3 linked regions of the Caenorhabditis elegans genome follow. The protein of the gene in region 3 interacts with the protein of the main gene of each other region in a pairwise test. Each region holds a gene or a part of one and is shown on either strand. Other genes may lie near its edges.

Region 1 (3,758 bases), on a different chromosome or scaffold from region 3:
TAAAATGTTCATGAGATCATTAGACTCTAGGAAGAGGAAAACAGGAAGTTCATGATAAACGGAAGCTTGAGTAGAAGCAATTTTTAAGCTGAATATTGAGAGCTTTCAATTAATAATTTGATGGAAAATGAAGCGTAAGACTACAAAATTAGATTTTAAAATACTTATTAAATACCTCGTTTTGAAAATTTTTGAAACTTTCCAACTTTCAAAACAACTGTTTTTTCTCAGATCTACCTTTTTCAAATCAACTTTCAAACACTTTGGATATAACACAAATATTTCAACCTACTGTATATGGTTAGTAAGATTACATTCTCACCTTCATCTTCGCATTTTCTTTGCTCGACAAGTCCTTCACAAACCCAAACCTGGTTACATATTCACGAATGTGTGCGAACACAAATAAAGCGAGCCATGCGATGTAAACTTTGATAGTCGTCAATCTATCAATCTGGAAATAATTACATGTTCAGAAAGCTATTGGGAAAAGACAAAACCTTTTCAAACTCATTTGGTGCTCGTTTTCCAACATCTCCATAGATATCATGGGATGATGTAGTCTCTTCGGATCCTTGATCTACTTTTACTTCCTCTTCTTCTTCATCATCATCATGTTCTTGGTTCCAAGCACATTCCAGAATATGGGTACGCTTTTTGAGCTCACTGAAATTTATTGCGGTGTTTATTTTATAAGATAAAAAATAAAAGCTAATCAACCTGCTGAGATACTCATCTAGACAGAGAGAATCGGTGCGTCGAGACATTGCAAATGCAGAGTAAATGATAGAATGTCAGTTCTTATCAAATAGAGAAATAATACAATGAACTCGTGGACTGCTATGGCGGAAAACGGACACGGAATCGGAAGATACATGAAACAGGCGGTGCACATCATGTGTGTACGTGCTCCGAGAACGGATACTCACAGAAATGGAGAGATCTCTCTCCGTCGACGGATTAAAACTAGCAAACTTTTCTATTAGTTTTGCATGCAATACTAATTTTCAATTGATTTTCAATTTATTCAATTTTCAATTGACATAGAGAAAAAACTAACTTTCGAACTTCTTTTTGCTTTGAAAATTTAATCAATCTTGGGCAAAAACTTGACTTGATAATGTTTAAAGCTTGAAAAAATACAACTTTTCCATGCTTTATTCGAGCCTTTGAATTCAGTAAGATTCTTTTGCCTATCCTAAAAATGACGACTTTATCAAAATTTACATGCATATGGCTGCTCTGACAACTAGTCAGTACGAAACTATTAGGGCATACTTTAATTCAATTTTTTTTTGAAAGTCTACAAGTTGTGTAAATCTTCAGCCCCATCAATTCCTTTATTTTTATTCTAGAATTAAATTTATCAGTCGATTTTACTACTGCTTTTCATCAATTGTCTACTCAAAAGCCAAATGATCAAAATGATTTTTGTTTGTTTGTGAGCAAATAAAAATTGTAATTGTTTGAGTAGATTTTTTAAAATATCATCATTTATCCATTTCAGTCAATAGATATTTGCAATAAAGTCAATAATTCTCTTGAAAAATTGTGATTGAGTGTGACAAATTTATGTTCAAAGCAACCTGATTGAAAAATAATTCCACTCTCGAAGTGTGTTGTTCGTTCTGAACTGCTTGAAAGTAAGCGTGAAAAAAGGCAGCTAGAAGGGCGCGAGGGGGCGAGTGAAGAGGCGCCCCCGAATGCCTTATTTTCCATATTTTTTCAATATTTCGAAATTTCAACGCCTCATATCATCAAACTATATTGTATCGGCATCATATAAGTTAACACATACTGATAAGGTGCCATGCACAACTGATTGCAAAAAAAAACGATAAGAATATACTCACTCATTCTCTTCTCGTTGTTTCGCAAGATCACTGATCAAAAGAGGTGATTTCTTTTCGGTGAATGTGAGTCGAATTGGTAGCTTGTGTAGAAATCTGAATGGCGAATTTCGTTTCGCTACCTCAGAAGTCATCTGAAAAGTTTTAAAGTTAGAATTCGAGTAGATTGTGTATTTTTTAGAAAGCAATACAAAATAGGAAAGTCCATTTTTTAAACAGTTTCTTCGCTAGTAATGGGAAAATATGTTTTTAAAAGTGATTTTGTTCAAAGTTTAGCATAAAATTCCTCAAATATATATTATTCATATTTCATGATTTGTGCTCTTCTCGTTCTATGTTCACCAAGAAGAATTGCACAATTCGTATCTTTGAGTCACTTTCTAAATTTCAAAAAGGGCGTAAAACTGTGACAGGTTCATCAAAATGTAAAAAATCATGCCAGCCAAAATCAACATTAACTTTTTTCCTGCAAACGTGAAATTATTTGTAACGTTCAACAAATTAACGGAAGACTGAATATGTACAAGTATTGCGCGAATCCTAAAACATTAGTTCTAATTCCAGAAAACATGTAGTAGGCACGTAGGCAGGTAAGCGGAAGGCATGGACTTCTGGAGAAGGAGATCCCTATACAGCGAATTTTGCCACGAGCAACATCATTAGAAAAAAAAACAAAAAATGTTTAAGTTGCTTTCAAATGAAATCACGAAAACGGAAAATTCAAAAGAATGAATTTTTGAGAACGCAACTCATGAATACATAAATCCGTGCAGACTACACTTAAACTTTTGCCATTGAGCTAACGCTTCTTTATAATTTCAAAATTTAATACTTCAAAACTTTAAATATTCAATTTTAAAATGACTCATCTAAAAGAAGTGCAAAACGAAGAAACTGCCCAAGAATGACAGCGGATGGTGATAACACAGGGTACGCACTATAGGTACACCCGTGTTGGTAAATAATGTTCAAGAAGAACGAAATTGAGTTGACATAAGGCAAAAAAAGAGCAAGAAAACTTGTTTGGCAGTTTGAGATCTCAACAATTAGTTAAACAAACAATCTTTTGGGATAGCCAGGTTGTGGAAACTTCTAGAATCAAAAACATGTCAAAGTCACAACAAAGACATTTAAAATTTAGAAACTCTGAGCAAGGAGCAAGGCTGTTGTTGCTCTTTAAAAAACTGTTCACTTCAAAGTTTAAGTAACTTCTCATTGACGCGAATCAATTTTGGCGTATTTTACCGACCAAGCCCTATCTAGAAATTTAAATTTGCTTCACAATTATTTAACTATAGATGTTTCATTTGACCTACAGAAAGAGTATGTAGTTGAAATCTTCTCAGGAATAATTATTGTGTGACTAACTTCGGACTGTCATATGTGCCAGAATTTGATAGATTCCTTACAAAAAACATAAAGCACTGTACATTTGAAAGCGTAGTCAACACTTGAAAATGCGCAAAAAGCCATAAATGAGCACAAAAACATAAAATGGCACAAAACGATGGGTGGTCACTTTAAACAAGAGAGAAGCCAGAAAGAGATACGGAAAAGGATGAGGTCGTCTGCCGTCATGGAGATTCATTCTCAACAAGAGTTTCGAAATTATTTTTAAACTATGAGTTTATTTGTAGTCAGAGCACAAGTGTGCCTTTTTTGTGACAGATTACGAGCCGAGCTTGGGTAACAAAATATGACTTGCCATATGCTACAGGGAAAGAATTTTAACATTTTACTGAAGTACTGAACTTCTCAGTGAAACATCATATAGAATATCCGTTTTTAAAGAATATTTCACTACATACAAAAAGTTAGGAGCATTCAGGCAACTTAAGTTAGAAAAAAAACTACAGGAATCAGATTATCTTGTCTTTGTTTGTCCTGCATCATATTACTACGAATTGA
Region 2 (3,758 bases), on a different chromosome or scaffold from region 3:
ATGTGGAATTCGTAGTAAAAGAGATTCCGTAGTAAAAGATCCAATTGTAGTAAAAGATCTAGATGTGGAATTCGTAGTAAAAGAGATTCCGTAGTAAAAGATCCAATTGTAGTAAAAGATCTAGATGTGGAATTCGTAGTAAAAGAGATTCCGTAGTAAAAGAGATCCTGTAGTAAAAGAGATGCGTAGTAAAAGATCAAGTAGTAAAACAGTATTTGCCCAAAATTGTTTATTCCACGTTCCAATGGTGTTCGATGCATCACTCTTACTCGTCCAAAGTTGCTCCGACAAAGTTTTGAAAATGTTCAATTTTTCTAGGTTTTCAGTCGAACTGCTCCAAAATGTTTTTGGAAAATTTCCAATGATGTAAAATTTTTCTATGAGATCATTCGAACTGATCCAAAGTTGTTCATTCAGAGTATTGAAAATATTCAATTTACTCATTAATTAAAAAATTTTATTTTGCCAAAAATTCACTAAAACGCAAAACGTAATGTTACAATTACAGAGATGAAGCGAATAATGAGTTTTATAGATATTTATATAATATATATTTAACAAAAATTATTCATGAAAACTCGAAAAATGAGGTGACAAAAAAAGTTGAAGAAAAAAATATTTTGAGCCATTTACAACTGTTACAAAGTTACTAAGTCGTAATCAAAGATTCTGGCATTTCTCAAAAATATACTTGGGCTGCTCAAAAATTGATTCGTCCGAGTGAAAGATGAATCAAAAATGTTTGAGATAGCTTCCTTTGCTGGAGGAACCACAGTGTCTTCGAAAAACCTCCAGAAAAACTTCAGAATTGAAACTGCCGTCCTTCCCATTCTTTTAAAAAAGAATACAGTTACAGTCCACCGAATCAGAAACATAGCAGCACGTTTGAGCAATCGGCCATTATCATCATCGTCGCCCTCCGATGGAGTGTCGGTTATTCGTTGAGGTGCATCTTAATATATAAATGTATATTTAAAAGAGATCTATCACTTGTGGGTTTCATAACTTAATTTGATGTGCTCATTTATATCAATGAGAATATAAAAAGAAGTACAAAATGTTTTTTTGAAAAGTCTTGTATCGATTGTTTTCTTCGAATAATGCTAACGAGTTTAAAACTAACTAAATGTCGATTTTTGTCTAGAAGTTTATCGAAAATTCGGGTAACACGAAATCATCGACGTTTTTTTGTTGTGAATTAGTAAGGAATCCTCGTAAAACGAATGAAAAATAGAATATTATTGAAATTTTAAAAATAATGTAAAGATTTTGGAACAAAAAAGTAGATGTGCAACAATTATGGAGACTGCAATACTGATTTTCAAAGGTGTCTTTGGGCAATCGTAACGGATACGCAATACTAATAGATAATAAACGGTATTTTCTCACGGTTATCAAAATATGAACGTACTTGAAGGTTCGCCATAACGTTGTCTCAATTGATGATCTAGTGCTAGTTGGAGTTTATCAAGGTCACACCCGGTATAATCGTAAGGACTTCCAGTATTTGGATGATAATATGTTTGTCTCATATTATCCAAACTCCTATTTGAATGAGAAATGCGTGAGTTCCTTGATATTCCATCAAGCTGTCTATCATATTCTTCGCGTAGGCCTGGATCGGAAAGCGTAGAATATGCCAGACCGAAGGCTGAAATTATTGTTTTTGATTAAACGTGGACAGTCGTGACAGGTGGGATAATTTTCAAAAAAGTCACAATTTATAATTTTCAACAATGTAGTCAGTTTTCCCTGTGTTCCATGCGAAAATTAAATCCCTTGTCACTATCATAAAATAAAAATAAAATAATTTTGAACATTTTTTGAATACCCGTTTCAGATTTTGCGGTTTTGTAGCACAATTTATCAATTCAATCAGAAAAAAAATTCTTCATCAAAATATTCGTCAACCTCCTAGTCTTCATTAAGTTCTCAGTAAATTTCAAGTGCAATTTTTGTCACGTACCTAAATCCTTTTTAAACACGTATGGATCATTCGGGTCTACTTTTGCCATTGAATTCATATATGCATTATAAATTTCAAAGTGAGTTGCATTCTTGCGAACTTTCAGAACTTGGTAATGATTCTGATTTTCAAATGAAGACATTTCAATTGTCGACCTGAAAAATTCAGTTTACTTAAAAAACAAATTAATTGAAATACTTAACGATTTGGTAATTTGTAAAAAGAAAAAGGAAGTTGTTTTTTTATTAACTGGGATATAATATAATTTCTATTTCTTTGATTTCGTATGTTTTTCTTGAAATTCTTAAAAATTGTCAAAGAATTTTGTGAAGGTTCCGGTGAAAAGGGGCACGTTTGTTTCAAGGTCCTGTTATGTTAAAAAATCGATACAAATCAATTTTTATACTAAACTATCCAAACAATATTCCGATTAAGCTTCGTAGTTATTGTTACATGTAAGTTCTACTAGCTTTGTACTCCAATTTTCTTTTTGAAAGTTTCAAAAGTAACAAATTCGGGTGATATCGTAAAATGAGATTATGAGCATCGGAAAAGTCGAATAGACGACAGAAAAGATGTATTGCATAGTTGGCCGCATTTTTCTCTGCAGTCTCTCGGTGCGATATTTAACACGCAAAGGGCCGTACCACGACACCCGCCGAATTGAGGTAAATGCGGTCACGGCCACCAAGGGGATTTTAAATTCAGAGTTTTTCTTCGAGAGACTCTGAATACTGACAACATTTGATTAAAAACTTTTTATTGTAATTAATGTACCCGAAAGATAACAGGATATGATTGAAGAATTAAATGTTATATCACAAACTCAAGATATAAATAATTATAAGCAAGGTTTCTGCATACTCCAGGATGAATTCAATTGTTCGAAATAAGTATCCGACTGTCTTTTGATATCAATATTCATCTCAACTCCGAAAGTGTTTCGCAAATTGAGATTACTCGCTTCGGGTCCGATTTCTGTCACGTCGATTCGTTTTGTTTTGAAACGGGCGGTTATCTGGTGAGTTTAATTTGGCCTCGGATTCTGGGACTGTAGTTTTCCTATATACATACCTTCGACAAAACTCTCTTGAACTCTTGATGCCACCGAATATTGAACTTGTATATAATATAAGGTGTAAGTATTGTGTATCTGAAATTTATCTTTTAAGGTCATTTGAAAATAGTACTAAAACTTACACGCTGAAGCTCAACTCGAACAAAGTGATGCAGAGATTCCGGTAGAACCAATCTATTTCAAAACTGGCCACTAACATCAGAACCGGACAGAGAATTGTGAAGAAGAAGATACTTGAAGCAAACCGAATGAAAAACTGGAGAAATTGGATTTTATGAATTGTGGTTTGTTTTCTTACAAAACTTACAAAGTAAAAATGAATATTATCAGAAATCTGATACCTTTCAGCCAAACAGTATTTCCCGTTGTAACTTTGTTGGCAGGCTCGATAGTATTTCTGATTTATTTTGTAGTTCAACATGTTACCCTGGAAAAATTTAAATAACTATGTTAGGGATTATTTCCGAACATACCAAGCAACTAGTCGCACTCAAAACAAGTAGAAAAACTGTGTGGTAGAAACTTGTTGCAACTGAAATTTGAATTTTTTGGTTTTGAATTTTATTTTCTTTGAAAGTTAATTTTAACACAAAGCTGTTTTTTTTCCAAATATTATCTGCTCACCAATTGCCAGTGAATATGCCAAAAGACCTCCTGCTGTGTACAACCCGATTCCAATTATAATCCCAATCCACCATCTATTTTTACGCTCAT
Region 3 (3,758 bases):
TGTAAGATTTCTGAGATTATATTTGAAGTCATTGTCAAAAAGAAAAATATATAATTCTTCTGAATTATTATTTCAGAGAGAAAGATTTTGAGGGAGTTTTAAACAAGACACTGCGATTTCTCGTTTTCAGTCACTAGAAATGTCACAGTTTATAAGAGCAAAATAGAAAACGAATGAAAAATTGAATGCTGTACATTTCTCTTGCTCTATACTGGCTGCTACCCCACTTTTTCAATCACACTGTACGCTTCTCTGTGTGCCCAGACAAAACCATTGAAAACTACTGCTCTGCATAGCCCGCAAAGCAGGAAAGCTATTTTTCAATCGCAAATAAAACGAAAAAAGCGCATGGGAGCGCGAGATAGAATGCAATCTTTTTTTGAAACTTCGATTCTGTAGTAATTATGCAAGTTGTGGTTGCAACAATGGTGCTCACAAAAGAGTTGCGAAGAGTAAATATGAAAAGGGCACATGAATAGCGATCAAATCAAATGACGAACTGATAAAAAAGATAATATGTAGTTGTCATGTGTACTCTTGAGCGAACGTGCAAAAGAAAATTGGACACATAACATTCTGAACTGGAGTTTGAAGGCGGAGAAGATCCAAAAAGGAAATTGTTTTTGAACAAATTAGCTTTGAAGCTTTCTCTATTATTCTTGCATGCAAGACTAATTTTCAATTGGTCCGTAGGGATGTAAGACTAGGCCTGTGGAGTGGGTCGCCCCATTTTTTGGGTCGGTCGGGTCGGGGTAGGAGTCGGAAATTCTAATATCATGAGAGTGGTTTTGTATCATTTGGCTCTATATGCTCTCCTCATTTTTCAAACAGAAGTTCAATTTAAATGTTACGCTTGGAAAAGAGCAGCACACCACACTTTTGGCTCATTGTTGATTGGTGTTTTTCATCGCGTAAAAACTGGAAATTTAATTGAATACTTTTGGCACTCGTATTCGGAGGGTCTCATTGACCTTTAACTTTGTTTTCTGCAAAAGTCTCACAATGTAGGTGTTTCAAATTACGTTGCATTTGATTTTTTAACGACATGAAAAAATTTCAAGATTATACTTGAAATTTATGTGTTCAAAAATGTTACTAGAATAAATTATTTTCAATTTTTGAAAGAAAATGTTCCACATTCTTTATACATATCTTTGTACATATGGCAACTAAACGTTTGCGAAATTCCTAACATTGAACAAGACAAATTATTTTCAAATTAAATTGATATGCTGTTGAAGGAAAAATACGTAAAAATAAGAAATTCTAATTTTAGTTATTGTTTATTCTTATATTTTATGAACGCAAAAAGCACTTGATTAAACAACAGAAATCAAAAAGTTAAAAAGAAAAGTTGCTGTTCAGACTGACGGGGGTACGGATAATTCATGCAAATCGGTGTCATTCTAAAAATCGATATGTGGAATTGAATCAGAAAGGAAATCGTCGAAAAAATTACAGTTGACTCACGATTTCTGTATTTTAGAGTTTGTTTCGCGGCAGTCACGCGTTTTACATTGGCGACGGTGAAGAAGCAAAACGAAAGGACAACAAAATTGCGTAGAGTTTCTCTTTCTCAACCAACCATCAAAAACGTTTAGATTTGGAAAACGTGCTGGAGATAAACAAAACACATACATAAACACGAGGTCATTGACAACGAAGAGCCGGTTGTTTGATCAGGCAGATCATAAGGAGACAAGGTCATGTGGTTTATCTTAAAAATGAACACTTACTGCGGCAAAGATGAACATTCTCAGTGACAGGATCCCTTGCTGCGGTCTCTTTTAGCTGTAACTACCCTGAAACTTTAAGTTATTTGTATCTTGTAAAACCAACGTTATTGACAATAGAGAGCAAAAAAAGTTGTGAAGATATAAACGCAAACCATAAGAAGGAGTAACGGTTCTGCTTTTTATTTGAGTAAAAAATTTTAAAAATTGAGGTTCCGCAGGAATCTTAAATTTAGGCCACTTGTCCGCGGAGCGACTGGAAAAAATATTATTATTTAATCACAACCTCATTTTGAAATTTTGTGTCGTTTATGAAAAATTCGCTAGTTTAATCTCAATTTCTACAACAGGGTAAAGTTGATAAAATTTTAGAATTTTGCTATATTGAGTATTTTTTTGTTAAACTTTTCAACCGTTAAAAAGAAAAAGAAAAAACACTTTTGTGAAATTTTCAAGAAGTTTCATCCTGAGAACAAATTTGCAAAGTTGAATGCAAAATTTGATTTTTTTTATCACTTTTAAACTTGCGTTGAACTTACGTGAAACTATCTTATATTAATGATTGATTGGTAAATTCACAAAAATTATGCCCCATGTTACAGATCTTGTGAAAATTAATTAATGTGTGAACACATATTTTTAAAGTTCAAGAAGTTTTTTAATTGAAATTGTGAACAAAACCACGTGATGCATTTGCGGACGCACAGAGAAATTTGATATTCACTAGGAACATTAAGTATGTTTATTTTTTCGTTTTTTTGTATGTTTTAAATATTCGCAACAAAAATTTCAATTGTTTTAATTATAACATTTATGATATTTGCAAAGTATTTCATCTGATTAAGAGTAAAAATAATTTCTGTTATTTTCAAATATCATAAATAAGAAAATAAATGAGAATGGCAAGATGAAATATGAGGAAAAACGGGTTTGTTGTAACATAAATAATGCTCATCGCACATGTGCAAATACATAAAATACGTAAACGATGAGATAAAAAAATTGAATTTCTCGAACGTCTCTATGTGTATCTAATCCGATAAACACTAGTTTTAGGGAGTTATGAGGATGTTTTTCGTCTTGTTTTCTATTTTATTTTTAAAGATTTTATTTTTAATTATAATTTTAAAGAATGTCAAAGTGTAGAAAAACCCAATCAACAAATGAGCAGAAAAATTAAATGAGCACTCAATGTCCTTTTTTGGAAGAGAGCAGATGGTAGTTAAAAGCTAAAAAGACGCGGAACCCTTTTTTTCAAATGTGTTCCTCTGTGACGGCTGGCTTTTATGGGTTGAATGAAAGAATGATGGTGTTAGGGTACCACCCGACACAAAACAAAACAGAGCTGTTCTGCAAGATCAAAATGACGTTTTTTCAAAAATATATGCCAATTTTCTTAAAACTAAAAAAGAACAAAACTGATACAAGAATTGAAATTCCCAATGGGGTAAAATTCGAATGGGATGAGAAGAGGAAATGGGCGGAGGAAGGGGGCAAAAACGTTAATGAAATTTTGTTTCAAAGTTTTGTTTGCCCAAGGCTATTTTCTACTTTTTACATTACTTCAAAAATTGTAATTTCAAAACAAAAGTGGACTGGAAAAAATTAAAAAATAAAAATATTCCAATGGCTGCGCTGCAAACAAACAATTGGATGCTTCCAGATTTTCCAAATTTGCTGAAAACAGAATCGACAGGTATTTTGGGCAAATCTTCCTGCACAAATTGGGAATTTAACCTTGGAGCTCAGAGAAAAATGATCTACATGCAAATGTATCTATATATATTATATATATATATATATATATCTAGAGAATTTATCAAAGTATTAATTTGGCAATGTTGAAAATAGGTAGAGAAAAATCACAATCCCAACTATTTTTTTTCGAATATGGGTGTAATTGTTCTTGGTATATATTGAATAACGTTTTACACTTTACAAGTACTATCTCTTACATAAAAAATAAAGGGGAAAATGATTAAGCTACATCAAAAGTTCGAGAAAAAGTAACTAGTGTAACAAGTA

The links.
Region 1: the proteins of tsct-1 (region 3) and sptl-2 interact in a two-hybrid assay, tested with the Caenorhabditis elegans proteins (one large-scale study listed by BioGRID).
Region 2: the proteins of tsct-1 (region 3) and Y39C12A.9 interact in a two-hybrid assay, tested with the Caenorhabditis elegans proteins (one large-scale study listed by BioGRID).

Annotation. Positions count from the first base shown.
Region 1 is NC_003283.11:8,016,173-8,019,930, reverse strand, and holds the start of sptl-2 (Serine palmitoyltransferase 2), read right to left. Parts: upstream 1,991-3,758; 5' UTR 1,985-1,990; coding exon 1,854-1,984; intron 773-1,853; exon of another isoform or gene 768-772; coding exon of another isoform or gene 721-767; intron 667-720; coding exon 501-666; intron 455-500; coding exon 323-454; intron 1-322. UniProt on the Caenorhabditis elegans protein: Component of the serine palmitoyltransferase (SPT) that catalyzes the first committed step in sphingolipid biosynthesis, which is the condensation of an acyl-CoA species and L-serine.
Region 2 is NC_003282.8:12,257,085-12,260,842, forward strand, and holds Y39C12A.9 (J domain-containing protein), read right to left. Parts: upstream 2,128-3,758; 5' UTR 2,109-2,127; coding exon 1,967-2,108; intron 1,652-1,966; coding exon 1,412-1,651; intron 953-1,411; coding exon 639-952; 3' UTR 441-638; downstream 1-440. Other genes in the region: sre-14 (Serpentine Receptor, class E (Epsilon)), read right to left, coding at 2,808-2,984, 3,041-3,119, 3,167-3,300, 3,352-3,471, 3,518-3,576, 3,669-3,758.
Region 3 is NC_003284.9:12,432,150-12,435,907, reverse strand, and holds the start of tsct-1 (Protein tsct-1), read right to left. Parts: upstream 1,812-3,758; 5' UTR 1,755-1,811; coding exon 1,737-1,754; intron 1-1,736.